Linked DNA regions of Danio rerio. The protein of the gene in region 1 interacts with the protein of each later gene in a biochemical or structural test. Links are inferred from orthologs where the notes say so. Each region holds a gene or a part of one and is shown in the gene's direction. Other genes may lie near its edges.

What was found.
Region 2: the proteins of arnt (region 1) and calcoco1a form a complex in vitro, tested with the Homo sapiens proteins (2 studies listed by BioGRID, with this or other methods). The link is inferred for Danio rerio from reciprocal best matches to the Homo sapiens genes ARNT and CALCOCO1.
Region 3: the proteins of arnt (region 1) and tacc3 form a complex in vitro, tested with the Homo sapiens proteins (2 studies listed by BioGRID, with this or other methods). The link is inferred for Danio rerio from reciprocal best matches to the Homo sapiens genes ARNT and TACC3.
Region 4: the proteins of arnt (region 1) and trip11 form a complex in vitro, tested with the Homo sapiens proteins (3 studies listed by BioGRID, with this or other methods). The link is inferred for Danio rerio from reciprocal best matches to the Homo sapiens genes ARNT and TRIP11.

The regions. Positions count from the first base shown.
Region 1 is NC_133191.1:4,801,619-4,809,511, reverse strand, and holds part of arnt (aryl hydrocarbon receptor nuclear translocator), read left to right. Parts: intron 1-91; coding exon 92-194; intron 195-2,768; coding exon 2,769-2,834; intron 2,835-4,074; coding exon 4,075-4,160; intron 4,161-4,248; coding exon 4,249-4,325; intron 4,326-6,591; coding exon 6,592-6,726; intron 6,727-7,437; coding exon 7,438-7,512; intron 7,513-7,893. UniProt on the Homo sapiens protein: Required for activity of the AHR. Upon ligand binding, AHR translocates into the nucleus, where it heterodimerizes with ARNT and induces transcription by binding to xenobiotic response elements (XRE).
Region 2 is NC_133198.1:39,089,078-39,096,970, reverse strand, and holds part of calcoco1a (calcium-binding and coiled-coil domain-containing protein 1), read left to right. Parts: intron 1-269; coding exon 270-482; intron 483-673; coding exon 674-822; intron 823-2,257; coding exon 2,258-2,327; intron 2,328-2,414; coding exon 2,415-2,570; intron 2,571-5,582; coding exon 5,583-5,837; intron 5,838-5,931; coding exon 5,932-6,057; intron 6,058-7,049; coding exon 7,050-7,145; intron 7,146-7,893. UniProt on the Homo sapiens protein: Functions as a coactivator for aryl hydrocarbon and nuclear receptors (NR). Recruited to promoters through its contact with the N-terminal basic helix-loop-helix-Per-Arnt-Sim (PAS) domain of transcription factors or coactivators, such as NCOA2.
Region 3 is NC_133188.1:39,349,330-39,357,707, reverse strand, and holds the start of tacc3 (transforming acidic coiled-coil-containing protein 3), read left to right. Parts: upstream 1-3,539; 5' UTR 3,540-3,656; intron 3,657-4,268; exon of another isoform or gene 4,269-4,386; intron 4,387-4,846; 5' UTR 4,847-4,847; coding exon 4,848-5,012; intron 5,013-5,390; coding exon 5,391-5,518; intron 5,519-6,087; coding exon 6,088-7,377; intron 7,378-8,106; coding exon 8,107-8,173; intron 8,174-8,252; coding exon 8,253-8,378. Other genes in the region: mfsd2aa (sodium-dependent lysophosphatidylcholine symporter 1-A), read right to left, coding at 1,719-1,802, 3,095-3,154. UniProt on the Homo sapiens protein: Plays a role in the microtubule-dependent coupling of the nucleus and the centrosome. Involved in the processes that regulate centrosome-mediated interkinetic nuclear migration (INM) of neural progenitors.
Region 4 is NC_133188.1:36,628,740-36,636,632, reverse strand, and holds part of trip11 (thyroid receptor-interacting protein 11), read left to right. Parts: intron 1-94; coding exon 95-2,824; intron 2,825-4,321; coding exon 4,322-4,603; intron 4,604-6,336; coding exon 6,337-6,477; intron 6,478-6,587; coding exon 6,588-6,781; intron 6,782-7,893.

The DNA.
Region 1 (7,893 bases):
AATTTTGACTTCAGCTATGCATGACTTTCTTCTGTTAACCCTTTTTACATAAACAAAACCTTTGAATCCTGCTCCCCTTTTCTGACTCTAGGCCGGATGTTGGATATGAAAACGGGCACGGTGAAGAAGGAGGGTGGTCAGGCGACTGTGAGGATGAGTATGGGTGCCAGGCGCTCCTTCATCTGCAGAATGAGGTGAGACACAAAGCACACTGCTTTACTCCTATAGATCATCTCATTGCAATGTTAACTAAAGGTTTTTACAGGATCTAACTTTTTTTTAATGTTCGCTTTTTGCTGTTTTTCACTACAGACTGAATGCATGGTCATATTTAGATGTGCACACACAAACAAGCTGCTCCTATTTCATGGTGTTAAGGGCTAGAAATAAATTTCAGGCCTTAAAAAGTCTTACATTTACAGTTTCACTATTAATTTTATTTACCTCTATTTAACATAGTTTAATTACCTTCCTTACAATAACATTTGTTTCTTCATTCTCCATTTATTTATGGTGAGGACACTGACCTGGAGAGACAGTAGTGCATATATTTAGCTTTATGTTGTGTTAAAAAAAAGCGCATCTATGAAACCAGTTTGCTTATTTTTACACACTTATTATATGTGGCTAAGAAATAACTATATTATATATTTTTTTTGATGAGGAAAGTGAAAATCTTTTCCTTTTACATTAGAAAAAAATCTCCCCATATATACACCCATATACGCCCCATATACAAGTCTGAAATTTCATTAATAAAGGTCTTAAAAAGTCTTAAATTTGCCTTTATGATCGGTGTCTGTGGCAAATAGAAAACAATGTAAAGATGTGGCTCTTCTCTTCCAGTGTGTGACAACCTGGAGAAGTTTACAGTTTTCCCGATGTTTGCAAAACCGTCTTGCTCTCTCAGCCAATATGGTTAGATTGCTTCACGCCAGGCATCAGCGTCAACACTTCCCATTCACTTTGAATGGGTGACGCCAAGTGCTGCCGAACTGAACTGTGGATCCGTCTGCACTGCTTCGGGAATTTCTCAACTTTTTAAGCGCAAAGAGAATTGTCAGCCAATCAGATCGCTTTATGTAAATACCTTAGCTGAGACAGTAGCCAATTGCAGACTAGGGGCCCTATCATACACCCGGCGCAGTGTGGCGCAAGGCGCGGCGCAATAGTCTTTTGGTAGTTTCAGCTTGGCGCAAGAGTCGTTTTGAGGCGTTGCGCTACGCTGTTTAAATAGCAAATGCATTAGCGCTCATTTGTGCGCCCATAGGCGTTCTGGTCTAAAAAGGGAGGCGTTCTGAGGCGGACCGCTGGCGCGTTGCTATTTTGAGAAACTATAATAGATTTTTCATTAGACCAAAACAAACCCGGTCTAAACTCCAGCGCAGAGTTGCGCCTCGCTTACACACTGCTTAATACACACAAGAGAGCAAAAGGCAAATATCTTTTCATATGAAAAAATTTAAATATTAAGGATATATATAGGATATAATAAGAATAGATATAGGATATAAATATAAAGGATTAAAATATTACAAAACATATTATTTTCTAGCCTACATAAATATGAAAAATCACTGCTTTTTTGTCTTCTTCATCTCGGGAGGCTTTTTCAGTTCATTCATAACAATTTGCTTTTGTATAATGTTATTATTATTAGCAGTATTATTTATTATATCCATATTTATATTTGTTTTATTAAAAACAAGCTTAGATTTGCCCACCTGTCAGGTTTTAGACCATATGGGGCACAGCATGTGTTTTAGGATATAACTCAGGTTTTTGAGCACATTTTGTTATTGTTGTTCATTTATTCGTTTGCTGGAAATTAGAACTGAATTTAGAAATAGTTTTGAAACGAATATTTGCACTTAACAAACAAAATTATTTATTTATTAATTGATGTCTGTGTGTAAAGGTTTCCCTATCCAAGAGCGAATGTGAAAGTAGATCCGTTATCTCTCATTCTCACGCAGTAGATGCTCTGTTTAACAGTTTTCTGTTAAAAAACTGTTAACTGTTTGCTAGTGAAATGCTCATTTTTTCCACTTAGACTTACTTTGCGTCCTGTAAATAGCGAATGCGCTCTTGGCGCGACGCAGCTGGCTCTTAAAGGGAATGGGAGATGAGACTCTAATTGGTTTATTCTCAAAACACACCTATAACTCATTAAGAAAATAAACTCAAGCCTTTTAGCCCATGCACCACGACGCAAGGCAGGTTTTCCCATCCGTAAATTAGCAAAAACGCGTTCTGACACGCCCTGAAAGCATTTGCGCCCTGCGTTTTGCGCTCTGCTCATGTACCGTCAAAATAGAGCCCTAATTTTATTGGCTGATGCTGCTATGATGATTGTGTCAGAACCAAGCTTCAGACATGCCCTCCGTCAAGCATGTGAATTGGCCGTTTGTGTTTAGGGATACACATAAGCAGAAACGTTTACAACCCTGCCTACTGCAGCGAGGGGGTGTTGAGAGTTTTTGAAAACAGTATGTTGGCACTTTTCAAACTTCTTTTTGAACTCAAACGAATTACGAAAAATAACTTATTTTCAGTATACTGGGGTCTTTAAACCGATAAAACATTTTTATAATGTTATACATGTCAGGCCTTAATAACCCTTTATTTTAAAGGTCATGTAAAAAAGTGTTGAATTCTTATATACAGTTCAAGACAAAATTATTTGCCCTCTTGCAGGGCTTTTATAATTTTACAGATTTATTCACAATATCTACTTATTCAAGTGAAATGATGTGTGTGTGTTGTAGGTGTGGAGTGTGTCCAGTAGAGCCTGTGTCTCTTAACAGACTGAACTTCCTGAGGACCAGAAACAGGTAAAGCGTCTCTCTTTGTCTGTATGTGAGACAATCTCAGTTCATAAATAGATATAAAGCGTTAGTTCACCTAAAAGTGAAAGAAAACCCATCATTTACCCACCTCAAGGCATCCTAGGTGAATATCACTTTCTACTTTCAGTCAGAGTTATTTAAAAAGAAGTTTCCAGCTCTACATTGGAAAGCTTTTATCAGCCGTCCAAAATAATTAAGCTCATCCATTCATAACAAAAAGTGCCTCACACAGCTCCAATGATCAATAAAAGTCTCCTTTAGCAAATCAGTGCTTTTAACAAATTGCACAGAACTGTTTATAAAGGTTTATGTGGTCGTATGTCTTACAAAAAACTAACAAGATCACCACAGAAGACCTTTATTCACATTTGAAACGTTTCTTTATTATGAATGGGTACACTTTCGTGGACTTGTATTGAACTGTTTGGAGAAAAAAAGTAATTGTGGAGCTAAATGAGGCTAAAATGATGTGAAGTTTATTTATAAACTAATGTCAAGAGGATCGCTGCTTATGATTGCTTGCAGTTGTCCTGCATTATTCAATTTATGATTCATCATATCGGACGATTCCTAAGGTACTATAAATATCCTCAGTCCCATATAACAGCCATCATCAATTTAAAGAATCCCCCCTTCCACCCCTACTCCTCCTCCTTTCCTAGATGGGTGGCAAGGTGGCCTAGTGGTTAGCACTGTTGCCTCACAGCAAGAACGTCACTGGTTCTAGTCTTTACCAAGCCAGCTGACGTTTCTGTGCAGAGTTTACACGTCCTCCCCATGCTCATGTGGTTCCCCCCGGGTTCCCTGGTTTCCTCTCACCGTCCAAAACATGCAACTTAAATTAATTGACTAATCCAAATCGGCACCATAGACATGCTCCTAGTAAGTAGTTATCTCTAAAGAGCAATCACGAAATGTTTATTAGTTACTACAGCAGGGGACTTCTGAGATCTACCTGAGCTCAAACTCCCCTCTCGCCTTACAAACGGGAAGGAGCCTTGGGCTCGAGGATCTTATGAGCTCAGGGCTCTCTTCTGGGACAGCATGCCAAACAAGCTTTATAATCAATCATCAGCTAAGTGTGAACTCTTCAAATATATTTAAGTAGCTTTGACTGAAAGAAGAAAGTCAGCTATACCTAAGATGTCCTAAAGCTGAGTAAATCATGGAATAATTATAATTTGTGCGTGAACTAACCCTTCTCTCATCTCCTGTTGTTCTGCAGGAACGGATTGGGTTCTGCTAAAGACGGCGAGCAGCAGTATGTGGTTGTCCACTGCACAGGCTACATCAGATCTTGGCCTCCTGCAGGTACAGTATACACGCACACAATACACCGGAAGTGGCTATTGTTTACACAGAGTGGAGCTGGGAATAATATCTGGCTTTATCCTCTCAGGAATGAACCTGTCTGAGGAGGAGGCTGATAATAATCAGGGAAATCGTTTCTGTCTAGTTGCCATCGGAAGGCTACAGGTACTGCTTTTTTGTTCATGTATTCATCTTTAAAACAAATCTGCACTGAGTCATGGTTTTGCTTCATTATCTTTCTCTTATGGCTTTGTTGTGAAAAATTAATTGTCAACTTTGTTTAAACTTTTTAATAATATGTTATTTATAACCAGTGTTGGGCATGTATGTGGTTGTCCGACCCCTACACACACAATCAACAATGAGTTGATATTCTCCTCAGTTTAAAACTCACTGTATTCAGTTTTTTAAAGGTCCCATGAAATTAAAATAAAGTTTTTAGATGTTAGTACAAGTATTGTTAGATTTTAAGATATCCACAGGCTAGTGTGCTCCAGAACAGTGTCAAAACTTGCGCTTGGAAGATATAAAACTGATCTAAACATGTAAAGCTTGTAGTTTGTCACTTCCACCTAGGGCATCCCGAGTTCGAATCCCGGCTCGAGGACATTTCCCGACCTTGCCCCTTCTTACTCTCTCCTACTTCATTTTCTGTCTGATTACTGTCCTATCTAAAAAAAAGGCAAAAAGGCCAAAAATAAATCTTTTTAAAAAAACTACAGTTTCTTATCAAATCACACCAATCATATGCACCAATCAAATACCTGACATGCCCAGCCCCCTTCAATAAGCTTCTCATTTGCTTTTCATTTCATGCGCTTGAGCTCAACCAACCTTATTGGCTGAGATGGGATAAAAACAAAATGCTATTGGCTGTTTTTAAGAAAGGGCAGGGGGTACACGTTCCCACCCTCTCTTTGTGTTTTGGTTGAGATTACGTCAAACATCAAATAAAAATGCATATTTCAAAGCAGTTCATGTGACCTTTAAAACGCTTCACTGATTGTTTACAGTTTAACTGAAGTTATTTTATGTTAATTTATGCAAAGCATTATGAGGCATTGGAGAACAGGTACATTGAAAGTGATCTTAAAAATAAACAAATCTTACATTTTACAAAGTCTTTATGAATTTCTTTTAATGGATGGAGAAAATCGCTCAAGTTTCATTGAAAATTATCTTAATTTTGAAGAATTTATTTTAGATTAGATTCTCATTACACATGTTAAAGGCAGGAAATGCAGTTTAAGTCTAGCCAGGAGTGCATTATGGTATATGCGGAGCTAGTGTTTCTTCCCATACTGAAAGTTCTGGTGAACGGTTAATGTGACTTTTAACCATTTTATGCGGTTCCTTTTACAGCGTCGATGTTGTAATGTAATTAAAATACAAGCAGTTAAATAGATTTTGGCATTCATTTAGTTGCTCAAGCGTTAAACGAGACAAAAAGCCATTTACTTGCAGAATCGACAGGCTAGCACAGATGCTCCATTGAATATACTAGGGTAAAATAAATGTCTATATTTTGAAGACATGGCGGGGGAAAATGTAATTTAATGCAGTGCTTCTTGTACAATCTGAGACCCACTTTATATTGGATATCACTAAGCCAGAGTAGTTCTCTGTTTTTTTTAAAGAAAACAGACCTTAAACGCACTGATTTTGTAATGGCATACAGTTCACCGGAAGCGTTTAACTTAGGTTACTGACAAATTAAAAGTCCTTTAGCATACTTCCACATATAGCAGCAAGTGCAGGATATAGCTACAGGTATAAGTAAAAAGTGCAATTATAGAAAACTATTGGAAATGTTTACAGATGGATGTACTGTGAACATAATATACAAGTCATATTAACTAGAATCAGATATTTACAAATAGATGAACATATTGTAAAGGCTGCTATTAATAATCAGGGATATGCAAATACATATCAGCATAAGATGCACAAAAAAAAATTATTCCTGCAAAATTGTTGCAAACAATTTATACGGGTTGAAATTAAACAAACAAATTAAATTTGGTACTGTTCAACTTAATTTCTTTGTTTAGATTCAGACCAAATAAATAGTTTACAACCACTTAAATTAAAACAATTTGGTAAATCCAAGGAATCATCTTTGAATATTTGTTTTCACTGTATAGGTTTTGCTGTAACAGGAATTACAAATTGATATGTATATCATACAAATGTATATGTTCAGTGGATATGTGCATTTACAAATGGGTATGTACAGTGTAGTGCAATGATTAAATGCAATGTCAAGTGTGCAGTATGAAATAGTGCAATGGTTATGGGCAGTGTAAGTTGTAAGGGGTGGGCAGAGGAGTCAGTGAGGGGCAGAGTTCAATATTAGTGGTGGTTCAATATTTGTGGGTGAACTGACCCTTCATCGTTCTCTCTGACCTTGTGACCTTTGTTTGACCTGCAGGTCACCTGTTGCCCGAGCGACACAAGCATAAACAACATCAGCGTTCCAGTGGAGTTCATCTCCCGCCACAATTCTCAGGGTGTCTACACGTTTGTGGATCACCGCTGTACGGCCACGGTGGGCTTCCAGACTCAGGTGGGTCACGAAAAAAGCATTCAGGCTTAGGCCCAATCCCAATTCTACCTCTTAGCCCTTTCCCTTTCCCACACCAAGGGGTAGGGGTGTTCCAATTCTCTTTAGCTTGAAGGCGTAGGGCTAAGGGGAGGGAGTGAATACCCCTTCGAATAAAGATTTTTCAGGCCCACACTCAAAACCAAGGGAAAATAAATTTTTATTTGATTTTCCCCGATTTAAATCCCTGCACAGTCACAGTTTTACTTTGATAATATTAATGAGTCTTTAGTTTGTATTATTTATTCATTTATTTTTATTTATTTGTATTATTCATTTATTAATTTTTATTTATTTGTTTTTAAAATAGCAATTTAGGTATGGCAGATGTGTTATTTTGCAAAAAATGTGCAGCATTTAAGAAAGAAATGAAAGGGCTCTTCACCTTAAATTCTTTTAAAATATTTTTATTTTAAATCGTGACTAAATTGTGAATCGTGAGATTAGTATCGTGAATCGTTACATCCCTAGGAGGAATTGAATTTGGATCGTAAGCCTTAAATAAAAATAAAAAAGTTATTATTTTTAACTTGATGTATTTTGTACGTGTCTGTGTTTTTTTTATACATGCACAAAACCTGTAATAAGTTTGTTTGAATTTTAAGTGTTTATGTGTAGTTAATCATTGAGTTTACATTATCAAACGCATGTGACTGTTCTTCTTGTGTGATGCAGGAGCTGCTGGGGAAGAATATACTGGATTTCGCACACCCAGAAGACCAGGGTTTACTGCGAGACAGCCTTCAGCAGGTCTGTCTATCCAAATACAATCACTATCTCCATCTAGCCATTTCTTAGCTATTTATTTTGTTATGTTTACACGTGAACTAGTCTTTTCACTGTGTAGTCTTACACCGTGTCCTAGTACTGTATGTGCCAAAGCGTGATAAAAGCCATCTTTCTCATATTAAACTACTCTGAACTGAACTCTGAACACTGGACTGATACAGTTTCAGTTTATTAGAACTGCTATATTAAGCTCCTTTGACACTCTTCATTGCAAAGGCGCTATAGAAATATAGATGAAATATTGAAAATGAGTTTTTGTCCTGGCCATCTGTGCCAGCGATGTGGGAAATTTCTAATTTAGAAATTCTTTTCCATGACGTTGCAGCAGAACAACAATTCAAT
Region 2 (7,893 bases), on another chromosome or scaffold:
AAAAAAATATCTAGTTAAATATTATTTACTGCCATCATGGCCAAGATAAAATAAATCAATTATTAAAACTATTATTATATTTAGAAAAAAATTAAACAGAAATTAGGGAAAGATTATATAGAAGCGCTAATAATTCAGGAGGGCTAATAATTCTTAATTCAATTGTACATAATTAATTTAATATTTTGATAAACACCATAAAGAGGTAAATGATCAAATTTTATTCAATTGACCCCAATCATCGTCTTCTCTGTTGTTCCTCCTAACAGAGTCGTCTTCAGGAGTGTTTAAAGGAGCGTGCGGAGCTGCTCCAGGCTCTGGAAGCTGCAGACCAGAACGTGGAGAGGGAGAAAGGCAGAAGGGAGAGAGACAGAGGGTCCTGGGAACACACACGCAAGGAGCTTGAAAGGAAGATCGACGATCTGAAGGAGGAAGTGAGAGAATATAGAGAGAAAGTGGAGGACATGAAGAAGAAGCAGAAGGTAGTGTAAACACTCATTTCATCAGCCTGTGTGGTCAGCCCTAGGTCACAGTTGTGTGCATATTTTGTCTTGACTATGTTTACTGTTGTATATATGTTCACACAGAGAGAGAGACACACACTGGTAAAATGATAACAGCTACATATTTTAGTTTTACTGTTTAGTGTACTACCATCATGTCTCTCTTTTAGGAAGTTGAGGATTTAGGCGAGGCCCTGACAGAGGAGAAAAGAGCCCTGCTTGCTCAAAAAGAAGCGAATGAGCAGCGAATCAGAGAGCTTGAGGAGGACATTAAAATACTGACCCAGAGGGGCTTGGAGAGAGAGACTGACCTAGAAAGGTGGGAGGCTTTGTATCTTCTAGTCTTTGAATGTACTTGTTTGCTATATATGACATGTCGATGCGGACATAGGGGCCATTTATTTACGACATTGTTTTTGGGCAAATTCATAAAAACTGTTGCTTGTTTGTTTACACAATGAATTGTTTCTAAAACAAAGGTTTTAAAGTGCAAGATTTTTTTAATGTCATCATTATAGCATCCATGTAAACACCCAAAACTTTTCTGTTTTGTAACATTTTTGTCCTCCAAGTGTAGCTTTACATTTTGTTTAGAATTTCATGTTTTCCATCTCACTAGCTACGTAGTCAGAACTGTCAAGAGCATCTGTGCTCTGTCTCACATCTTTAAATGCCACCACACACTCATTGCGTGTCGTCATTGTTTTCTGAGGTGAAAGTCATTTATTAAATAAGAAAAAGATCCACGCTGCTTTTCGTATCGCAGCAAATTCCATTTTAACTGTTGATATTTGGCACCAGTTAATCAGAAAGTGACGATTTTGTTCTCTTTGACTGGTTGGATGGAAACGCTGCTTTATTCACACGTCTTTTATGCATTATTCAAGTTTTGCGCATAAAGTTAATTAGCATTTTGGAATTTAAACATGTAGCTAGTGTTGATGCTTAAAACTCTACAGATTTAAACTATTTCAAAACATTAGTGCGAGACAAGTGACACAATTTTATGATGTCCTTTGTTATAAGTTTCTTGTACTATAGTAATAATAAATTATACAGTTATGGTACATGCAACTGAACCTTCTAAACATCAACTTAACATCACTGTAACCCTATAGTACAATTATTAAGTGAATATCATTCAGTGTGTAAATGTATAGTAACTAGGACATTGTAAAAAAAAAAAGTGTAACCATAACCTGTGCCTTTAAGGAATGTAGTAACATAATCAGCTAATAACAGATATTATTGTCAGAAATCATAACTGCAATAAGTGTACCATGATTTATGTTTATGATTAATGCAGCACTGAAATTCCAGCAGCTAAAATGTATTTTGTCAAATCAGGAAAAAATGTTTTTGATTGTAGTTGAAATAGTTTTAGAAGGCTGAAATCAATGACTGAAACCATTTGCATTTCGAAGAGCTATTTGTTTGTGGTGCAAACCACACTGCTTGTGTTGTAGTGCATGCTTGTTTTCACCTTATATTAGCATATCTGAAATGTGTTTTTAGTGACCACTTGCGATCAATAATCAAGATTTTGTATTATTATGATTATTATTTTCTCATTAGTCAAGTATATTTGCAATTAATGTGTTTTAAAAGTAAATATTTCTACTGTGTTCTCTGGGTCAAATCAGGCCATGTTAGTGTTTCATATACTGTGCACATATGCATCCACTTCTAAACAGTGTTTTTATTGTCTCGTTGAGCTGCATGTTTTCATTGGTTCTCATGTTTGCGATTTGTAGGATGAGGGAAAGGGCTAAAAAATCAGCAGCTCAGAAGAGGGAGGATGAAGATGAACACAAGAACCTGAAGGTTTCTAATCTAATACCAATGCAGTTTTTTACAAATAGAAGAGATGTACATGCTCATGACGTGTCATTGCTTTTTGCATTATACTAGTTAAAGATGGAGCAGACAGAGAAAGAGCTGCACAGTCTGTCAGCAGAGTTCCAGAGTCTGAGAAGCTCATTGGCCCAGAGAGACACACACGCCCTGCAGCTTAGAGACACCATCACCACCCTCACACACAAACTCAACAGCGCTCACAGGAAGGAGGTAACACTCCAGCAGTTTCACACCCCAGCTTTCACCTTGAATGTCTGAGGAGGTGTACACAGGATGTCCTGTCTCAAAACAGTGATTTGAAATAGTGATCTTAAAGTGCATGCTATTTTTATAAGGGGGACAAAGTTTGACTGATTTGTATGGTCCAGACAGCCCCTGCTGGTAGATTGTATAACTGCACAAAAGAGGCTGAAATCATGCATTATTGACAATAATATACAGGGCTCAAAATTAACCTTTTTGCTCAGTAGCACTGGTGCTCCTCACTGAAAAAATTTGAGAGCACTAGTCAAAATGTAGTCGCACCCACCAATTATGAGCACCGTTACTACAAGTTTTATATTAACAGATTTACTTCATTTAAAATCAACATTAATCAAACTAATAAACAACAACAAAAAAATCTTCATGCGCCCACACACTTCTTGACATGAATGAAACTTAGTTACTGATAATAACTGTGCTGTTCTCACAGGTGGTGTCTGATATTCCAAAGACGCTATTAACATTATTTGCATACGTAATCTTAATAGCAATACCGATCTTTTCATGAGCTGCAATATTAGGTTAATCTTAGTGACTGTAAGCCCTTTTGCTATGGTGTACACTGTGCTACATTTTACATATAGCTGCCAGTTGCATGGCTGACTGCATGACAATTAAAAGAAGGATAAAATAGAATCTCTCAGGCTTAAAGGGCACCTATGGTAAAAAATCTACTTTTCAAGCTGTTTGGACAGATCTGTGTGTTGGTATAGTGTATAGACCGTCATACTGGGGTGATATGAACACACCCAGTCCTTTTTTTTCAATTTAACTACAAAAAAAGGGTCGGCCAATTGGAGCTGTTTTCAAATCGATCGCACCATTACGTAGGTGTGCGATCCCCACGCCCACCGAATTGATTGACAGCTGCGCGCATTAACATGTTCCGGTAGTCACGTGTATGTCAACAAGACCAGGCAGACATACGCAAAGCAACCGGGAATAAAAGGTCTGTTCTGTTCGCTAGGATCAGCAATCATCATCAAATGTGATTAAGAGTAAGTTTCACATGTTTTCAAGTGTTTTAAAACAGAGTATGTGTGTAACTAATTACAGCGCTTTACTTCATCAGCACAGCCACGTGTCAGAACAATTATAAAAGAAGACGCTTCAATCCCGGTTTGTGGAAGTTAAATCAGGTTTATTTTGTACATTAGCATAACAGATATCATCACAGTACTTGAGGTTAGCCTTAACTAAGCTAAGCGCGCTCTGTCTGTCTGCCTGCCCGTGAGTGTGTGTGTCATCTGCGGTGTGCGTGTGTATCTGTGTGTGTGTGTGTGTGTGCGCGCAATTTGTAACGATATTGTGTGTGACTCATCAATGCAACTTCACAATACTGATTAGTAAAGGTTAGTTCTTACTGTAGTATCTCACAAACGCTACGTGAGACCTTCTTCCTTTAAGTCTGTCTGTTGTTTGACGCAGCTGAGGGAGGAGGCATTTAGAAACAGTAGGCGGGAAAGACTCGTCTTAAAGGCGCAGTACGACAAAACCACCCCCTGCTGGAAATCAGTATAAAACAGCATCTTGTAAAAGGTATAATGAAAAATCTGATGGGTATTTTAATCTGAAACTTTATATACACATTCTAGAGACTCACAAGACTTATATTAAATCTGAAAAAAGGGGTAACCTAGGTGCCCTTTAAATAGTAAAGATGTGGCAAACGTGGTTACCTGCAAACTCCGTCACACCAGCTTTACAGTGAATGCTTTAATAATTTTCACAGCAGACAAAGATGTATTCTGCATAAATGTCTTCTAAATCCGCGCATGCGGTGAACATATTGCAGTGAAAATGGTCGCATGCCAACGTTATGCACAAACGCTCCCAATTATTTTTTGAGGTTGCATAGATAAAATTTCAGCCGCATGTGACCAAAACTGTCGCAATTTATAGCCCTGATACAGCACATGAACCGAAACCTAGGTGTACATACATAGATGCAAACAAAACTAAACAAATACTAAATGTAATGTAAATGTAAACTAAATGTAAGTAGTCATTACAAGGCTTTGTTGTTATTAATTGTTATTAATTACTCCTCATGTTGTTACAAACCCCTGAGACCTTTGTTAGCCTTCAGAACACAAATAAAGATTTTTTTAGGATAAATCTGAGAGCTCCCTCATCCTCTATAGACAGCAAAGTTCAAGGCTCATTCAAAAAACAGACACCAAGACACCAAAAACATCAACAACAGTCATGAATGTGCACAAGATACTGACACTGAGAAAAGCAAATTGTTGAATTAAGTTGTTTTTGTTTGTGCACACAAAACTATTCTCGTAGCTTGATATTTTTCATTTTAAACCACTAAAAGCATGGTCTGTTTGTGGATGTCTTCTGGTACCTTTCTGGACTTTGATTGAATCTTGAACCTTGCTGTCCATGGAGGATGAGAGCGCTCTCAGATTTCACTTAAAATATGTTAATTTGATGATGAAGACAAACAATGGTCTCAGGGGTTTGGAACAACATTAGGAAGAGTAATTAATAATAATTTTCTATTTTTTTGGTGAACAGACCCTTTAGAACTAACACTTGTCAGCAGTATGAATGGTCGAAGCATTGTCTGATTTGGCTGTGCTGCAAATATGATAATAATATTATTATTATTGTTAAATATTCAAGATTTGTTTCTCAGATATGCACATTTGACAGTAGAATTGAATTCAGAGTTGCATGGGCTTAATTTGTGATGCTGAGGTAATTTTATTATTAACAAAAACAGCACCAACTCTAAAAAATTATAACAGCCTCATGTTTTGTGCATTTACAGTTCTTATAATTACTCCCGAAAATTTGGTATAAATTTGGCACAAACACACACACACACACACACACACACACACACACACACACAGAAATATATGAAAAGATAGCTAAAATGGACGCCAGAACTGTAGTCTGATAAGGGCATGACGTTTTCATGTTTGTGTCATTGTTGAGCAGGCAGCCAATGAATTGGCTTTGAATGAACTCCGAAGTGTTCAGGAGCGTCTGAATGTTAGTGAACACTGTGTGGAGACTCTGAGGGGAGAGCTGAGAGACATGGTTGCTCAGAGAGACAGTGCACATGCTGAGCTCCATCAGGCCCGTCTGCAGGCCGCACAGCTCACACTTCAGTTAGCAGATGCCAGTCTGGCTCTGAGAGAAGGCAGGGCCAACTGGGCACAGGAGAGAGAGACACTGCAGCAGAATGCTGAGGTACATACAGTATAGTGAAAATGTATATTAAAAACAAAACCAAAAAAACAACTTTAAGACTGTTTTTCATATAAGTGATTGCATTAATTTTCAGATTGACAAAGTGCGTCTGGAACGCCAAAATGATGAGATCCAGCAGAAGGAGGAGATGTTGCAGAAGGCAAGGATGGAGAGAGAGAAAGCAGTGGTGGAGCTGGGAAGAGAGAAAGATTGCAATCGGGTAAACAGAAAACTCTCTTCAGGGTTCCCAAGGGTCATGGAATTTTTGATTTTAAAAGGTCTATTCCAGACATTGAAAGTCAGGGAATTTTAAATATTTTTGTCCAGGCCCGGGAATATCAGAGACTTTTGTTTGTCGCTTAAAATTAGATTCCATTTATCAAAATGTCATTTTTCTGTACTTAATCTTGTTTTTTATTATGTTGTTTCACACGTTTTGCCTATTGTTGTTTTTTTCAGTGCCATTTTATTCCTTTCTGCTTGTTAACCAGCAGTCATCAAGCTGTACCTGTTAACTTATAGAAACATGTCAACAAAATGTAAATTTCAATAGCTGTCTCGAAAATGACCACGTCGATGACAGGGTGTTAGACTGTGTGCTCATTTCTTTTCATTTATTTAAAAAATCTTGATAAATTATGTTGTTGCTTTCATAATAGCTATTACATTGATGAAAAATTCCAGCTCAAACTATTTGAATATTATGAGCACTTTCGACTTAATGTTGTGCTTTATTTATTAATTAAGCACAGTAACACTGTTTTTCCATTCATTATAGGCCATGGAAATTCAGCTTTTTAGGCAGTAAAAATCACGTAAAAATAAAGAGAATTTTACATTTGGTATAGATCGGCGTGTTTTTTTTTTTTTTTACAAGAAAGACTATAGAAAAAAAAGATGCATATAAATAACATTTACTTTAAAACTTAAATATAAACATAATATTAACAAATGGCATGCAGCCAAATCAAGTTATTAAAAATCAGTAATTAAAACTAAGTTTTTAGACCTGTCTAATACACTTGGGAGTTAACATGGCCAATATCACATGCTTATCATTTGCTTGCAGAAATTTGACTAGTGACCTATATTTGACGTTTGCTATTTAAATTGAATGTAAATGAAGGTGTCAATATATGTTTGTAATGTCAAGTAAATATTTGAAATCATGAGTCTTGGGTTTTTTTTAAACAAATTTGTGTTGGTGTATAGGTTCAGCTAAGTGAGACTCGGCGTGAGCTTCAGGAGCTAAAGGCAAGTCTCAGGGTGGCTCAGAAAGAAAAGGAACAGCTGCAAACAGAAATACAGGCAAGATCTATTTTCTGTGCCATCATGTTCTTATCAAAGCTCAAAAGTCTGGTTCGCACAGGTCATACAATAAGTTCGCAATAAAGTTGTTTAGTGTTAGTTGTCCTCACTTTCTTGGTAAACAAATATCGCATTCACAAGAGCCTAAAGGCAATAGCAAAAACATGCTGTTGTACTAGTTTTAAACCACAGAACAACCTGTCTCTTATGGGTATGTTTTGTTCTTTGTGTGTCTGACAGCTCAGGGACCCTGGTTTTAAAGCAATTTTCCACATAGTAAATGCACTTATACTGGAAACTGAGCAGACAAGCAGACCCACGGGACTTAAATACAGAAATCTGAAGCTTGTATTTTTGTTAGTCTTTGCTTGAATTCTTAAGTAAAGAAATCTTACGTGAGCTATAAACTTTATCCTTTCGGAGTGGATGAACATCTGGTTAGCATGTTACTGTTGTAATAATAGTGAATGGAGTTTGCAGAACATGGCAGTGTATTCAGGGATATGCAGTTGTGAATCCCCTTATGATATCCATTTTCTAATACCAAAAGAAAGTAACTGGGTTTAGATATTTAGCTAGTCCTAGTGCAAGGTTAAATTTTTATAAAATTGAATTAAGGAGAAGCAAATTTGTCACAAGAGTCTCTTGATTTTTGAAAGTTTATTATCATCGCTATAGGCTTTCACTGTAATGTATTTCTAATTCTGTCTGATTCTATTGGAAAAAAAGACACATTCACTTTAGGTTA
Region 3 (8,378 bases), on another chromosome or scaffold:
TTAGTTTAATTTTTGCTTTTAATTGTGAGCATGGATGATTTATAAAACATCTGAACATAATATTTGCTTTCTGGGTCAATTTGAAGCATATAAATGTTTGTTCTTAAATTTCCATATGGTGATTTTACATTTCTTTGTTCAACATTTCAGTGATCATTTGGTTTTATAACTATTTTTTACATTTAATTAGGAGCATTAGATGATTTATAAAATATCTGAGAATAATGTTTGCTGTCTGGGTCAATTTGAACCATATTTAATTATTTTCTTAAGCTCCTAAATGTTGGTTTCACGTTTTTTTTTTTTTTTTTTTTTTTTTTTTAGTGCAACATTTCAGTGATCATTTGGTTTCGTAACCATTTTTTGCCTTTAATTGTGAGCATCACTGATTTTCAAAATATCTAAATAAAATGTTTGCTCTCTGGGTCAGTTTGAACCATTTTTTAAACTATTTTCTAAAGCTCTTAAATGGTGGTTTCACATTTTTTGTGCAACCTTTCAGTGATCATTTGGTTTCATTTTTGCTTTTAAATGTGAGCATGGATGATTTATAAAACATCTAAACATATTATTTGCTTTCTGGGTCAATTTAAAGCATATAAATGTTTGTTCTTAAATTCCCAGATGGTGGTTTTACAATTCTTTGTGCAACATTTCAGTGATCATTTGGTTTTATAATAATTTTTTACATTTAATTATGAGCATTCGATGATTTATAAAATATCTGAATATCTTGCTGTCTGGGTCAATTTGAACCATATTTAATTATTTTCGTAAGCTCATAAATGTTAGTTTCACTTTTTTTGTGCAACATTTCAGTGATCATTTGGTTTCATAACCATTTTTATCTTGTGATTGTGAGCATGGATGATTTATAAAACCTACAGATTTATTTCTAACAAAACAACATGAACATAAATATTGCATTCAAAACATTTACTTTTAGATGAAAGTAAGTGAGATATGGGGGAAGGCCTAAATATATTTTTCTTTTTACACAGATTTAACTATAGATATGTTTACTGGAATTTTCCAATAATGATAATAATAATTTATAATAAATACATTTATACTTATAATACATAAAAGGTCAGTGTGTTCTGTATAATATTTAAATAAATGAATAAAATAGATAATGAGAAAATACTTGCTTTTTTACCATTTATGAGAAAACAGGTCATTATAACATCTATAAAATATCAGATCTTAAATATTGTAAACAAATGAATGAGCAAATACATTAAATAAATTATAAACAATTATTGTTATTACATTTTTATTCTAAACTGTGAAAGCACTACAAAAGATGTGCTCAGATTATTCTCAGACTGAAATACAATATGCAGAAAATGCATATGCAGATTATGTCTTAAAATAAATGAAATCACCTCGTCTGAGGACAGCCGATATCCGTAGCCTGTGTGTTTAATGTATGTGATGTAAGCTGAATGCAGGTCAGTAGTGCGGGGAGAGGGAGTCAATGCACTGACTGACCTCAGCACAAACATGCCTTTGTTATGTAACTCTCTCCTCTCCTCTACCCTGCCCCGCCCATTCTTCAGTGTGCTTTTTTGGTTTAGTCTTTGATTCTTTTATAAATGTTTTTGGCATACTAAATGAACATACAACCGCAATGCATTTCTAATATTTTTATGTATACAAGTCCATAAACATTCGCAAAGGCATATATATGCACGCATTGTTTTGTTTAAGCTTACCATACATGATCCCATAACAGTCTGGCACTCATTGAGGCATTGGATGTGATCCGATGCTGCCCTCTTGCGAAAAAAGGCAAGACACTGCAGGTGAAAAGGGTAAATAATTATTAATAGTTATCGCCATGCTTCCACAGCTGACTGAAAACATTAAGAATTGCAAAAATCATAAAGTTTGTATTACAAGTTTCTACAATGCTATATTTAAGTAGGCATGTATAATTAGTATTGATTATTCTGCATAAATTTCTAGCACAAAAACCTGAACACTGAATGATAATAGGTTCAAAATTTTTGATGCTTTTTTGGCATATTTAGAGTAAAAGGTTTTAACAGAAGGGAATTAAATCACTGCTTGATTCGGAAAATTCAGAATAAAAATCAACAAATTGGGTATAAACCTCTGTAAACATTTTATCTATATATGAATTTTATTACTTTCTATATTTATTAATATCGATAAGAACAAATCTGTATAAATCTGGAGTCCAAAAGTGATTAAAAATCATTCTGAGAAAAATTTGTATTGTAATTGAAATCTATGGAAACACTATAAACTTTTAAACGTGTTTTTTTTACGTTTAAATTTAAAAATTTCTCAAAATTGACAGGTACATCAAATGTATGCTTTTGCTTGCCATGACTGCTGGTAATGATTAAAAAAATGGGTAATTAAAGCTAGGTAAATCATAAAAAAAAGTTATTGTACCCACTATACTTTTTAAAAAGATAATTATGTTCATAATAATGCACAAAAACAGCAATAAACATATATATTTCAAGGCGTTTTACCAAATTCATGGTAAATGGTTTTTACCTTGTGAAAGAAATTTTGAGGATTCTTTTTTAAAATCACCACTTAATTCTAAAAAAATCACTTTTTGTAGAAGAAAATGGAGTATTTGTGATCAAACTAATTATGCATAAGCATGTGCCTCTGCAATCTTTTACCTTTATATTAATATTATTATTTTCTGTATGTATTAGCTTAGAAACTAATAAAACTGTAAAAACTTGCGTCCGTAAATGATGCTGAAGTGATTTTTGCATGACAAAAATATATTGAAATAAATATGCATTGTAATTGAAATCTATACAAACAATTTCTTTACAATACATTTTTTTAAATTCAAAACAACAAGTACATTGTCATTTAAATGACAAGTATATCACATGCATGTATTGCCATGTCTGATGGTAATAATAAAAAATAGTTATTATTAAAGCTTAAAAAAATGCATCAACAACAAAATGATTTAATGTATGCGTTGATTAACAGCAAATATATTATCAAAAACTAAAATTATAAAAGACAATTATGTCCATAACATGCACTGTTATTGCAATATGAAACGAAATTCATATTTAATACATACCCTGTTGCAAAGCTTGTCGTCACGTTCATTGTATGGAGAAAACATACAGTGAAAGTACATTGTGGTTCAAAACATCACTCTTCCCTGATAACTTTCCATTTTCAAGACAACTCAAAACTAAAGTATCATCTTCAGTACAGCGAAACACTGTAAACGAAAACAAAACAGTTATATCTAATATCTAAGCTACAACAACAGCAGTAGTTTACACTGTCAAATCTACACTTGTTTTCAACAAGTAAAAGGGTTAAATGAGGTTATTTATCTTCATAAACCGTCTGCGTCAACGGCTTACCCTATTGGCTGGTTTGGATGTCTGTCAAATGTATATCCTGTACAAAAGCGCAGATTGACGTGCGATGCTATTGGTCGATTCGTATAATCGCCCCGCCTGACGAGAGTTGATTCTTGCATTTAATTGGCTGAGAGTGCGCCGTTTAAATTTGAACCGTTTCAAACGGGGAAAGTTATAAATGCAACAACAACATCTCTATGCTGTGTGTCGAGCTGACTGTCTCTGCGAAGAAAACGGTTTTTATTAGATTTGAGCAGTTTGAATAAGGTACGTATTTTAGAAAACCGCCCCCGAGCCACGTTTATAGGATTGTAAGTTATTAATGCGCGATATGAAACCATAAAGGTAACTTAATCGCTTTGACTTTTTTGCTACGTGAGTGTTGCCAGAACGTCGAACATTCTGATGTAACGTTAACTTAATCCTGTTATTTTAAGATTGCGATAAGTGATTGTTAGCTATCCTTTATGTAACGTTAGAGATTTTTTTTCTGTTATAGTTAAATTTCTAAAGTTCGTATGGAAAGGGCATAAAAATGTAGAATTAACATTAAGTATGACGTTACGTGTAACTTATTGATTTTGAGCACTGTTGGAGATAACGTTAATTTATTTGCATTAAAAACTTTTTTTTAAATAAATAACAAATTCTATATTTATTTATTCATTCATGTATTCAATGTTGTTTTGTCATCCACGTGGGTATGTGAGCTGTTAGGCTAAATTCTGTCTTGCACTCAATTCTCTGGCTGTGCTAAACGTTATGTGGTTTATTTATATTTTTCCACTGAAGTGAGGGATTGATCTGATATCTCACTTTTGTTCAGGTTAAAATGTGATCATTTGATTTATGATAGTGAGCTGTTTATCACCTGTCCAGGTAAGCTGTAGGAGAGAGAAGCTGTCAGAAGTACCTGTCAAATACAAAGCTGACAATCATATTGTCAGGCCTACATAGTTGAGCAGAATCCAGGCAAGAACAGATAAGGCCAGAAGTGGTAATGATTTTGTTTTTTGATTTTGTTTGTCAATCTCTTCCTTGTTCCTACTTATTCTCACAAAAAAATCACAGTATCAGGGGATTGGCATAGTGTTTGATCATGATATATATATATATATATATATATATATATATATATATATATATATATATATATATATATATATATATATATATATATATATTTTTTTTTTTTTCTTTTCTTTTTTTTTTCACTAAAAAGAAGCACTTTGTTCCCTCAGCACAAGGCTAAATTGTCACTGGTTTGGGTTATTAGTCACAGTGGGTTAGTCTGAAAGGAGATGCAACAGATTTGAAGTGTCTCAGGACTAGGGTCTCTGGGTGTTGGGTCAGATGCCCGCCTCCGGGTCTTATCAGCAAAAGCAGCTGTTTATGGTGCCTGCTGGGCGTGACTTTCCAAAACCCATGTTGTCATTTTCTGTGTCTCTGTTTTACAGTATGAGTTCTGACGCGCTGAAGGAGAATCAGGGAGCTGTACGGATGAACAGCAATTCTGAATTCGCTTGTGACATTTTCATGTTGGATCAGCCGACTGGCAGACCCTCGATTTTGCGGCAGTCGCAGGCTGACAACATTAACAGGACTGCTCCTAGAGCAGCAAAGGTGGGCTTGACAAATTTCCATGCAGTATTTTTTCTGTACTGTATAATGTGTAATAAAATCACTGGTTATAAACCAAGTGTTTTCCATTTTAAAAAGTAACTTGTTCCTTTGACTGTAAATTTACCTTTTCTATAGACACTTTCTTTAGTGTCATATGAGCACATCTGAGTGACTTTTCAAGAAACAAAAACACTTATGAATGGCAGGTCGATTTTGTTGAAGCCATGCTACATTTTATTTTGGATTCTTTAATATTCACAAATGCAGTATTTATTTGTACTATTATAAATTTTATTTTGCATGTAATAATTGAACCCTTTCTTGGCCTTGTACTACAGCTTAGACTAACCTGCACGTTACTTAATTTCTCTTATATAGGTTTGTTTTCAAACCCCACGGCGAGATCCAGTGACAAAGAAGATCATGTCTCCAAGCCGCACCAGTAGGCCGATCAGCCAGGATGATCACAAAAATGCACTAGAGACTCTCACAGGCCTTTCTGACCAGTGAGTAAATTACCTGCATCTCCAATTGTTCAGGACTGTTGATGACCATTTGTGTATTTGGTGTACCTTTTATTTATATTAATTTCCACCAAAGGCACTTCTTCGAACAGACCCAGAGACTTCTGGTGTAAAATGATGGGTAAAACATAATGATCCTGTTTCCAAATAATATTAACATGGGTTTTCAAAAATTTTGTCTGAAAGCTGTAAACTTGCTTGGGATGTATTCACGGTGAAAGGACATATTTCTTTCAAATCTTTCACAATATAATGATTCAACTTTATAATTGAATCCACATATCATGTTTGACCTGTGGTGCATGCTCAAATAGGATTCCTATTTGACATTACTTTTTCTTCTTGACTATTGTTGATGCCCACATTGCAAAACAATATTTCAGTGCTAAAACAATATTTTGTCAACTTTAATGTACCACTCTAATAGTACAAGGTATTCATAAGAAAACTAGGTTAAAGATTAATTTTTAAAATATTTTTATGTAAGCCTCTTAACCTGTTTTTAATGGACAAATATGCTAACGTGTAAAACCTCCTTTTGTGTTTTTCAGGAGTTCATTGATGAATAACACTCACACCACACCAATTGACATAGAATGTAACAGTGTTGCTTTACCTGATGATGACATGCCTGTTCAGAGCAGAGGGGCCTATTCCTTTGATCTTGACAATATTGATGCCATCAACCCTTTCCAGGGCTCCAATAAAATGGCGAATTCCCCACCTAAATCTTCTGCTTTTACGGAGGCGGCAACATCAGAGCTTGTAGAGTCTAACACAACCATAGCCCCTGTTTCTGCACCCCAGGTAGAGGTAGAGACAGAGGCAGAAGTGACTGACAGTGCATTTGAAGAAGCTGTCCCATCAGTGGAGAATTCCCTTGCAGAATGCTCTGCCAACATCTCATCGACAGAGGGCAACGTAGCCCCTGTTCTTGCACCTCAGGCTGAAGTTCCAGAGGTGACTGAAAGTGCACTTGATGAGACTCTCCCATTTGTGCCATCAGTGGAGAATTCCCTTGCAGAATGCTCGGCCAACCTCTCTTCAGCAGAGGGCACAGTCATCCTCAAGACTGAGAATATTGAAAACAGCACCAATGAAACAGAGGAGACTGAGATCACTGACCCAGTGGCAGAGCCACAGCAGATTCCTGTTTTTGAGGGTCAACCCGAGGCACAGGACTTGCCACTACCTTCTGCAGGATCTTACAAGTTGGATTTTGACAACCTTGAAATGCTCAACCCATTCCAAACTGGTGGGTCAAAGATCCCCAACTCTCCTCCAACCAAAACATCAACAGTTTTTGACCCACCCCTGCTAAGCCACGAACCTGAACAAGAGCTATCAGTCCAGACAGATATCCCAACATCCTCCGATCCATCCATAACACCTCAGGAGAACTCCACTGCCACAGAGAGTTCCTCATCTACAACTGCCCCAAAGGAGAGCCAGATGCTATTAGAGTTTAATTTTGATGATGGAGCTGAAGTTAAACGCAAACCTCCTCCAAAACGCCTTGGGGTCAAAAGACCTGTTGGTGCAAAACCTGTGCCCAAAAAAACAGATGCACCAGTCACAGAGAAAAAAGATGCAGAACCCAAGCAGATGTCTCCTACAAGCCCAGAGGAGACCCAACCTGTGGATATTCCTTCTGCTAAAGGTTCTTACACTTTTGATTTTGAACAATTTGATAACCCAAACTTTAACCCCTTTGGCACAAAGGCTATGATGGGAAACTCACCACCACGTGGGGTCCAGACCAGTCCAGTTTTGAAGAAAGCACAATCTCCTGTTAAGCAACTTGAGACACTTCCTGCGCAGGATGACCAACCTGAGCAACGGTACGTACACCGCATACACAAAACGCTGAACATTTCTTATCTGCACAAGCTAATAATGGCCTGATTCTACTAAATAGCATGGTTTTGAAAGTACGGTTTCATATTTAACTGTAATTCCACCGTCAAAAGTATTAAAGCAGTAAACAATACCATGTTACTTTTTTGGCACTCTTTCCTAGTACCTAGTGCAACAGTACGGTACCGAATGGATTTACAGATGATTATAATATCGAAAATTTAAAAACAAAAAAATACAGCTGAGACGCATGACACCATATTAATATGATACTAGATTGTTTTGATCTTGTTGCAATTAAATTCCAAGAAGCAAAGACCAAATCTGCTGCCTCTATTGTTTGAGTCTGTCCAAAAGGGTGCTGTTTTCTTTGCATGCACGTCTATATTTGAAATTAATTTGAGTTTGCCAAAAGTGCAACAACGACCTGAAAGGCTTTCTTTTTTGGTATTTTGATGGTTGAAATGCAAGCTTGGTCAAGGTGACTCCTACTGAAGAGTACCAGTCCATTCTGCTAAGTGTAAATGAGGCCTAAAGCTCCATATCAGATTCTATTGCTCAAAAGCAGTGTATGTTGCTAGCTACCTCATTTTATTCTAAGGGGATGCATGAACTTATTAATTGCACCCTGAATGCTTTCAAATTCTATTTGTATAAACGCATTTAGCAAATAAGAACGAGCTCCATTGATTTGTATTTTGTCCCCCCTCCAGATCTCCCCAGGTAGTTTCTGAAAGCAAGGAAAATATGGTAGAAGCGAATCTTCCTGAGACTAAAGAGGTAAATATTTTTTAAATGCAACAATTCAAAGTCTTTTTCATCAAAGATTGACATTGTTCAACACTCATTCTTTTACAAGCTGGCAGAAGATGTTGAGTCATCAATGGCTGTATCTCACACTGACAAACCCCAGAATCCAGCGGTGCCGGAACGAGATTTCATGGCAGTACCAGAATCTATTGCAGATATTCAAAATCAGACCTGT
Region 4 (7,893 bases), on another chromosome or scaffold:
ACACATTTTAAGCCATGTTTACATGTTTATTAGTAATTGAATCTGTTGGATTGAAATTAGTATACTGTATGTTTACTTTGTTTTCTTTTTGTAGCATGTTATTGCAGTGAAGGACCAGCTGTCCCTGCAAAAAACCCAGACTGAGGCCGAAAAAGCTCGTCTTCAGTCAGACCTCAATTCCTTACTTGACCAGAGACAGTCTCTTCAACTGGAACTGGAAGCCCATGTAGAGAAACTAAGTCAAAGTGCCTTCTCCCTAAATGAACTGCACATGGCAAAGCAGCAGCTCGAAGCTACAGTAAAGGAGTTGAGGGAAAAGTTGTGCAAGTCCCAGGATCTGGGCAAAGAGTTGCGGCAGGAGTCCTCTGAGCTCAAGAGAGCGCTTCAGCAGAGAGAGACAGAACTTACTGCACTTCATGAGGAGTTAAGCCATACAGGGGAGCAGAGGAATGAGTTAGAAGTGCACAGGAAAATACTTGAGGCACGGGATAAAGACATCCATGACTTAAAAGCAGAGTTGGCAGAAGTGAAGGTCTCTTACGAGAGGGCCGTTTCAGAAGACTTTGAATTGAAAATTGATAATAGAAAGTTGACAGAAGAAAGGACTCGGACTTTAGAAAAGACGGACAGCTTGGAAAGGCATATCCAAGAATGTCAAGCTTCTCTAAGCAGGATGTCTCTCGAGAAAGACACCCGTATTGAGGCCTTGAAATTAGAAAAGAGCCAGCTAGAATCTGAGCTAAGTCAGACTGAGAAGCGACTGTCAGATCAGGCTAAACAATATCAACAAACTATTGATGAACTGACCAGAGCACGTTCCATGGATGCTTCTGCACTGCAGACCGAACATGAGCGAATGGTGAAACTCAATCAAGAAAAGGATCTCACAATTTCAGAGCTTAGGCGTGAAATAGAGCAGATGATCTCAGACCAAAAAGACACCAGCGAGATGTTGGACATAACAGTGGCTGGCCAAAATCAACTCACTGAGCTTCTCCAGGAGAAGGATGCTTTTGCAGAAACCCTAAAAACTCAAGCTGTGGAAACACAACAAGAGTTGGAGACCCGTATCTTGAGAGCAAGTCAAGAGTGTGACTCTCTCAGAAAGTCAGTGGAAGAGAAAGACAAACAGCTTGGAGCCATGAAGGAAGAAAACAGCCATTTGAAAGAAGAGATTGACCGTCTGAGGGACCAGCAGAGCAGACCACAGTTAATGTCAGAGCCACGGACACTGGATATCATCACAGAGCTTGAGAATGAGGTCGCCCAGCTCAAAGCTGCCAGAGATCAACTCAAAGAAGAGGTCCAAGCTCTGAGGAGACTTTCTGAAGAACAACAGACAACAGCCCTGCAGTCTCAACGCTCCCTTCAAAGTGAACTAGAGCAAGCACGGTCAAGAAACGAGCAAAGCGCACTCAATTACGAAAGACTCATCAGTGCTAAAGATGAAGAGATTGCCCGGCTTCAGTCAGAAGTAGAGGGCCTAAGCACACAAGGACGAAGTCAAATACAGTCCGTGGAAATTCTACAGGAAGATAAGACCCAGTCTCTGAATGGTGAAAACGGTAATGAGAAACATGACCTGTCAAAGGTGGAAATTGAGAAACTTGTGAAAGGCATCAAGGAGAAGGAGACTGAAATTAACCAGCTCAATGAAAAGAACCTCTGTCTAACCAAGCAGCTGGACCAACTTGTAGTATCTCAAAATGAGCTGGGAAAACTCTCACAGATGGTGCGCCAGAAGGATCTAGAAATCCAAGCGCTTCATGCTCGAGTGTCTGGAGGCCATGGTCAAGATGTGGTGTTCCTTCAGCAGCAGCTGCAGGCGTATGCGGTGGAACGGGAACAGGTGCTGGCTGTACTCAATGAGAAGACCAGAGAGAACAGTCAGCTGCGCTCAGACTACCATCGCATTATGGACATAGTTGCTGCCAAGGAGGCAGCCCTGTTAAAGCTTCAGCAAGAAAACCAGCGGCTCTCCACCATGAGCGACCCTTCAGGGAGTCAAGAGATGTTTCGAGAGACCATTCAGAACCTCTCCCGCATTATCCGTGAGAAAGACATCGAGATCGATGCCTTGACACAGAAATGCCAGACCCTGGTTTCTGTCCTCCAAACATCTGGCTGCAGTGATCCTGTGAGTGGTGGCTCTGGAGGTGTTAGCAGCAACCAGTTTGAGGAGCTCCTACAGGAACGTGACACTCTCAAACAGCAAGTTAAAAAGATGGAGGAGTGGAAGCAGCAGGTGATCACGACCGTGAGGAACATGCAGCATGAATCTGCACAGCTGCATGAGGAGCTGCTCAAGCTGCAGGGGCAGGTTTCTGCCGACAGTGACTCAAGCTCGAAGCTATCTGTGGATTATGCCAGGCTTATTCAGAGCTATGAGCAGAAAGAGAAAAAGCTTGGATTGTTGAGTCAAGAGCTGGCACAGGTGCAGCAGACCATCAGCCAGCTGACCAGTACCAAAGACGTTCTCCTCGGGAAGCTTGGCAGTGTCAAGCAATCTCCAGAATTGTCTGCCATGGTTCCTAGCCAGGCTCTTGCCCCTTCAAACCTGAGGGGGGCAGCACCTTCAGCCCAAGATGACCATATACATCAGGATATGCAGGCATTGCAGAGAACTTTAGCAGAGAAAGAGAGCATGATAAGAACTTTGCAGGAAAACAATCATCGCTTGTCAAATTCTGCATCTCTGTCTGAAAGTGAGCAGAGAAGCCATGCAGAGGAGCTCAAGCAAGCTAGAGAGAAGCAAGAATCTTTGCAGCGTTCCCTCAGAGAGAAAGATCTACTCATTAAGACTAAAGGGGACCAGCTCGGGCAGGTAATGTAGAAGGACAATACACAACAATACCTAAGCTGCATTGTGTCAAAATGCTAGTTTTCATCCCTAGTCCCCGGACAGGTTGGTGTTTATAAAGTTATTATCAGTTTATCAGTTATTTTATTGTGTAAACTGATAAAATGGACAATAATATGGTTAAAAGGACGGCAATAATATTACACAACGGTACACACAAACTTCATATATGAGCAATATTACAAGAGTAATATTGATACAGATGTGGCTGTATATCGACACTGGTGGAAGGCGTGCGTTAGTGCCGCCACCCATTACGAGATACAGCCACATCGCAATACTACAAGAGTGATATTGTATTTGTAAAACTGTTCGACGGCATAATTGTGTGTATAAGAAAGAAAATCAAACACAGAGTCTCAAAAACCCTTTTGTATGAGGAACAACTTTCTTTTACCACTCATTCACATCTGCAGCTGACAGCAAAGATCATAGAATCACTAAGATCTAAGCTATTTGCTGACAGTCAGAACAGCAGAAACCATTGCTACTTTACCAAACCATTGCTACTTTACCAACATCACTTTAGAGCTAGCTTTTGAATCATTCTCCTGCGTAATGACCAAAGTGATGACAAAACAGGTGATTTTTTTGCTCACATTTTAAGATTATCAAGCTAAACGGCATGAAATGCCATCAGTCTACAGAGATTTCCTGGTATTTCTCTGTTGCAATCAGGATTTCACAATAATTAACCCAAAAAAAGCCAGAGCAAAGCAAACACTACCAGATTCTGTGGTATAAATACAGCACTACAAAATACAAGAGAGAGATCGACTTAGAATGTCACCCACCTGATGTATAATGATTTGTTCTGTTGTAGTTTGAAATTTACACTAAGTAAATGCTGTTTTCTCCCCTAAGGACTTATTATGTGGTCTCTGTCACCATTTTGTGGCGGAAAGTCAATCATCACTTTCTTGGATTTGCTCAGGCTGATGGCGGACGATACACTGAATCCAATGCTCCGATATTATAAATATTTAAAATAGGCACTATCCTTATAAATAAACTGCTTAGTTGCAATCTAAACAACTACATTCTCGACTTAAAAAGGTTCAAAAGTACAGTATGTTGTCCAACAGCAGCAATAATTGTCAAACTATAGACTGTCCTCTGCTTGTTGCTGTATGTGGGCCGAGTATTGCACAAGGGTGAAGGGTTAAGAGGCTGGACAAGTGCTGTTATTTGCAGAATAACGTGCTGCTATCAGCCAATCAGATTCAAGAACCAGACTAAACTGTTGTATAAATATGCATATCATATCATGATATGTATACAAGGTTTTAATTAATAAACCAACATTATTCTAAAATCATTTCAAGAATCCTTCATACATAACTTCATACACGCATGTGCGTGCAAATATACAAACTCTCTCCAGATTTAAAAGACATTGAAGGTAGATTGAATGTAGATTGCAAAGGTGTTGATCATGAGGTTTTTCTGTACACTCCCCAGGTGAGTGAGACTTTACGCAACCGTGAGAACGACAATGAAGTTTTGAAGCAGGCTGTGACAAACCTGAAGGAACGTGCGCTGATCCTGGAGTTGGATGTGAAGAAACTGAAGGATGAGAATGAAGCGATTGCATCCAAAGCTCGTGAGAAAGAGACAGAGTTTCGTGCTCTGCAGGAGACCAACATGCAGGTGTCACTGTTGCTTCGGGAAAGAGAGTTTCAGTTCAGTGCTGTGAATGAGAAGGCCACTGCCATGGAGAAGATGTTGAAAGATAAAGAGCAGGTATGTCTGATTCTTGGTTTGTTTGAGTGTTAGAATATTAAGGTAAATTATCAGTAATACATTTTTTTTAAGAATTCCTGTCATAGGACAGATATTAAAGGGCCATGAAACCCCCTCGTTTCAGCAGGGTGTTTTCACACCTCTACTTTGGAAAAAGTCAGAAAAGTGGGCGTGTCCAGCTCTGTTTAGGGGGGAGTGTCGGAGGAACTAAAGTGGGATGGTGTGGGAGTGTCTATGTGGGCACGCGTGAGTTTCAGTCAAAATACACACACATGATAAAGTGATGGTGTTTAACCTACATGGACATCTGTAGTCGAATTATTTGCCAAATTGTTAAATGTTGGACTTTAACTGCAGTTTGGCTCTTTCATTCAGGGAATTCATTAATGTCCCTCCCGACAAACGAGATATTTGATTCGAGGATCTGCTCTAAGCGTGTATTTTTCATGCAATGTTTGATACCGCACGGCGAATGAGAGAAAAAAAACTCTGCATTTCCCGGAAACTTAGATGCACACGGCAGGTAGCGTCAGAAAGCCGCGTGTGTTATTCCGGTCACAAAATGCGGTGCTATGTTTGCACTCAGTGCAATAGTTAACTTAATTCGATACGAACAAACTGAATAAACAAAGAGCACTGGTCGCTCACTTACCAAATCTGTAGAGACAGGACAATCACCAGCAACTAGAGCCGCGTCATTATGAAGAGAAGACTAACGTTACAAGCGAATCCGGATTTCAGCGTTTGCAGATGAGAACAGCTCTCAGGTAAACAATGTTCCTCCTTAGACACGTAAGTTATTGTTGTCGAGCGTCGCGTACACTGTAATCCACACGTGACTCCAGATGAGCTCTCACAGAGAGAAAATGAAAACAAACTTAATGGCAGCAAACTATAAAAGCAACACTTCACGCTTGTTTTGCCAACACAACGTGGCGTCTCTGGGGCGTAAACACGGTGACACTAATGAATATTAATGAAGTTGCACAATAGAGCGCGCTGATTGGTTTGAACCAAGCCTTACTCATGCATTAATGCATCACACTGTAAGACGTAATAAGACTCACTCTGGCACAGACGCCCAGTCTGCACGCTGGAATACAGCGCTATTATGTCATGACCGTGACGCAGCTTCAAAAATTCGTTTCAAACCGGAAGTACGAATTTGCTTGAAATAAAGCAAAAACAACCAATTTACACTTTTTAGTGAAATATAGGTGTCCTAATAGTGTTTTTAGCAGTGTGGGACACATATACGACTGTCAACAGCTCAAAAAATGTGTTTTGGTGTTTCGTGACCCTTTAAACCAATATTTGTGTCACTCTATAAAAATAACTAAACATTTTCAAACAAATTAATCAATGAACTCTAGGGAAAAAGGATTATGTGACACTAAGGACTTAAATAATAGCTATTAAAATGCATCTTTAACATCCTCAAAGGAATCAATTGGATTTTCAAACACAATAGAAAACATTTATACTTGTAATGTTTCAGTTTTACACTTGTTACACTTATTTTGACCAAATAAATTAATGTTTAATGTACAAAAGAGAATTCTGAATGTTGTTTTGAGTTGTTGTTGTTATTATTATTATTATTAATAAGTATTTTATTTCGCATTCCCAACATACTTAATACTGTAAAGAGTGCATTTTTATAATGATGGAATAAACGCTGTGTTTTATATATGTTGTGAAACTGACCTGTCGCGCTTTTGTCTGTACTGTAGGGTAAATCTGGTGAGCTGAACCAGTTGTTAAATGAAGTTCGGTCCATGCAGGAGAAGGCAGTGTTGTTTCAGCAAGAAAGAGATCAAGTGATGATGGCCCTCAAACAGAAACAAATGGAGACATCTGCACTGCAGAGCGAGGTAGAAAAGGCTGTGTTTGTTATTGTTACTGTTTGTTATTAATCATCACATCTTATAAGAATTGCAATAGTGGAATTACTGTTTATTCATGTTCTCCTGTCTGCCTGTAGCTCCAGCATACTCGCGATAAAGAGCAGCGGCTGAAGCAGGAGGTGGAGAGATTGCGCAATCACCTGTTAGAGATTGAGGATTCATACACACGGGAGGCTTTATCAGCTCAGGACAGAGAGGCAGAGCTGAGACGCAGAGTAACGCTGCTGGACGAGCGGCTCACGTCGTCCTCTAATGCCGTGGAGAGTGCAAGGTAAGTCTCTTTTAGTCTGAGGATGCAATTGCTTGGTCCAAACCCCTTCCCGTCACTAGTCTTTTTTATTTTTCCAAATTTTTGTATTGTTATTATAATGATTATTATTATTGTTATTATAATTAACATATGTGATACCACACATACTCTGGTCTGCTGCAAAACCTCTGAAGCCAAAAGTGTACATTTACATTATTATTAGCCCTCCTGTGAAATCTTTATTATTTTTCAAATATTCTTTGTTTAAATGAGCAAGGACATTTTCACAGTATTTCGTTTATGTTTGTTTTCTTATTTCTTTTAGTTTAGTTGGAAAAAACTAAATTGTAATAAAAATAATAATAATTTAAGTATCAATATTAATAGCTCACTTAAGATTTTTCCTCTTCAATTGGCTAGATCAGGGGTTTTCAAACTGTGGGAGGGGAGGGGTGCGCCAGCCCCTTTTAAGGGGGTTGCGAGACATTGAGTCGTGCACTCAAGTAAATTATGATGACTATTTTTATGCGTCCACTAAAGGGAATATGATTAATGTTTGCTCCACAGCTAACCTACAGGCACCTGTAGAGTTAATGCGTTCCAGTAAAATATATACAAATAAAATGGAGCACGTGTTTTATAAAATGATTGAAGGTGAAAACCCGTCAAACCGGTGAGCTGTCTTACAAAAAAATGGATCTTTCACTTACTTTGAAGACACTACTGACTAGTTATTTGCCTTAATAAGACAGTAATATAATTAAGGTGTTACGTGAAGTGCTTTATGAATGTTGCGTCACCAGGCTATTTGCGTTTCCTGCAGAGGCTCATGTGATTTTGGGTGTTTCATCTTTAGTTTTTCGACTTTACTGCAGTTCGTTTCAAGTTTCACTTTCTCTCATGAACATTTCATTCACGCCCCTGTGACAAACTGGGGTATTAGATGCGAATATAAAGTAAAGATTGGTGGAGGAGTGTTGTTTTAATGGAAAGCCGAATGGAAAGCAGAAAAAAAAACCTCTGCATTTCATTGTGTGTGCGTGCATGCGTGTGCAATCCTTTACTGACAGCTGTGTTTATTGATCTTGTGTGTGTAGATCTTTTCGGCAAAATGTCCTACATCATGGTAATAG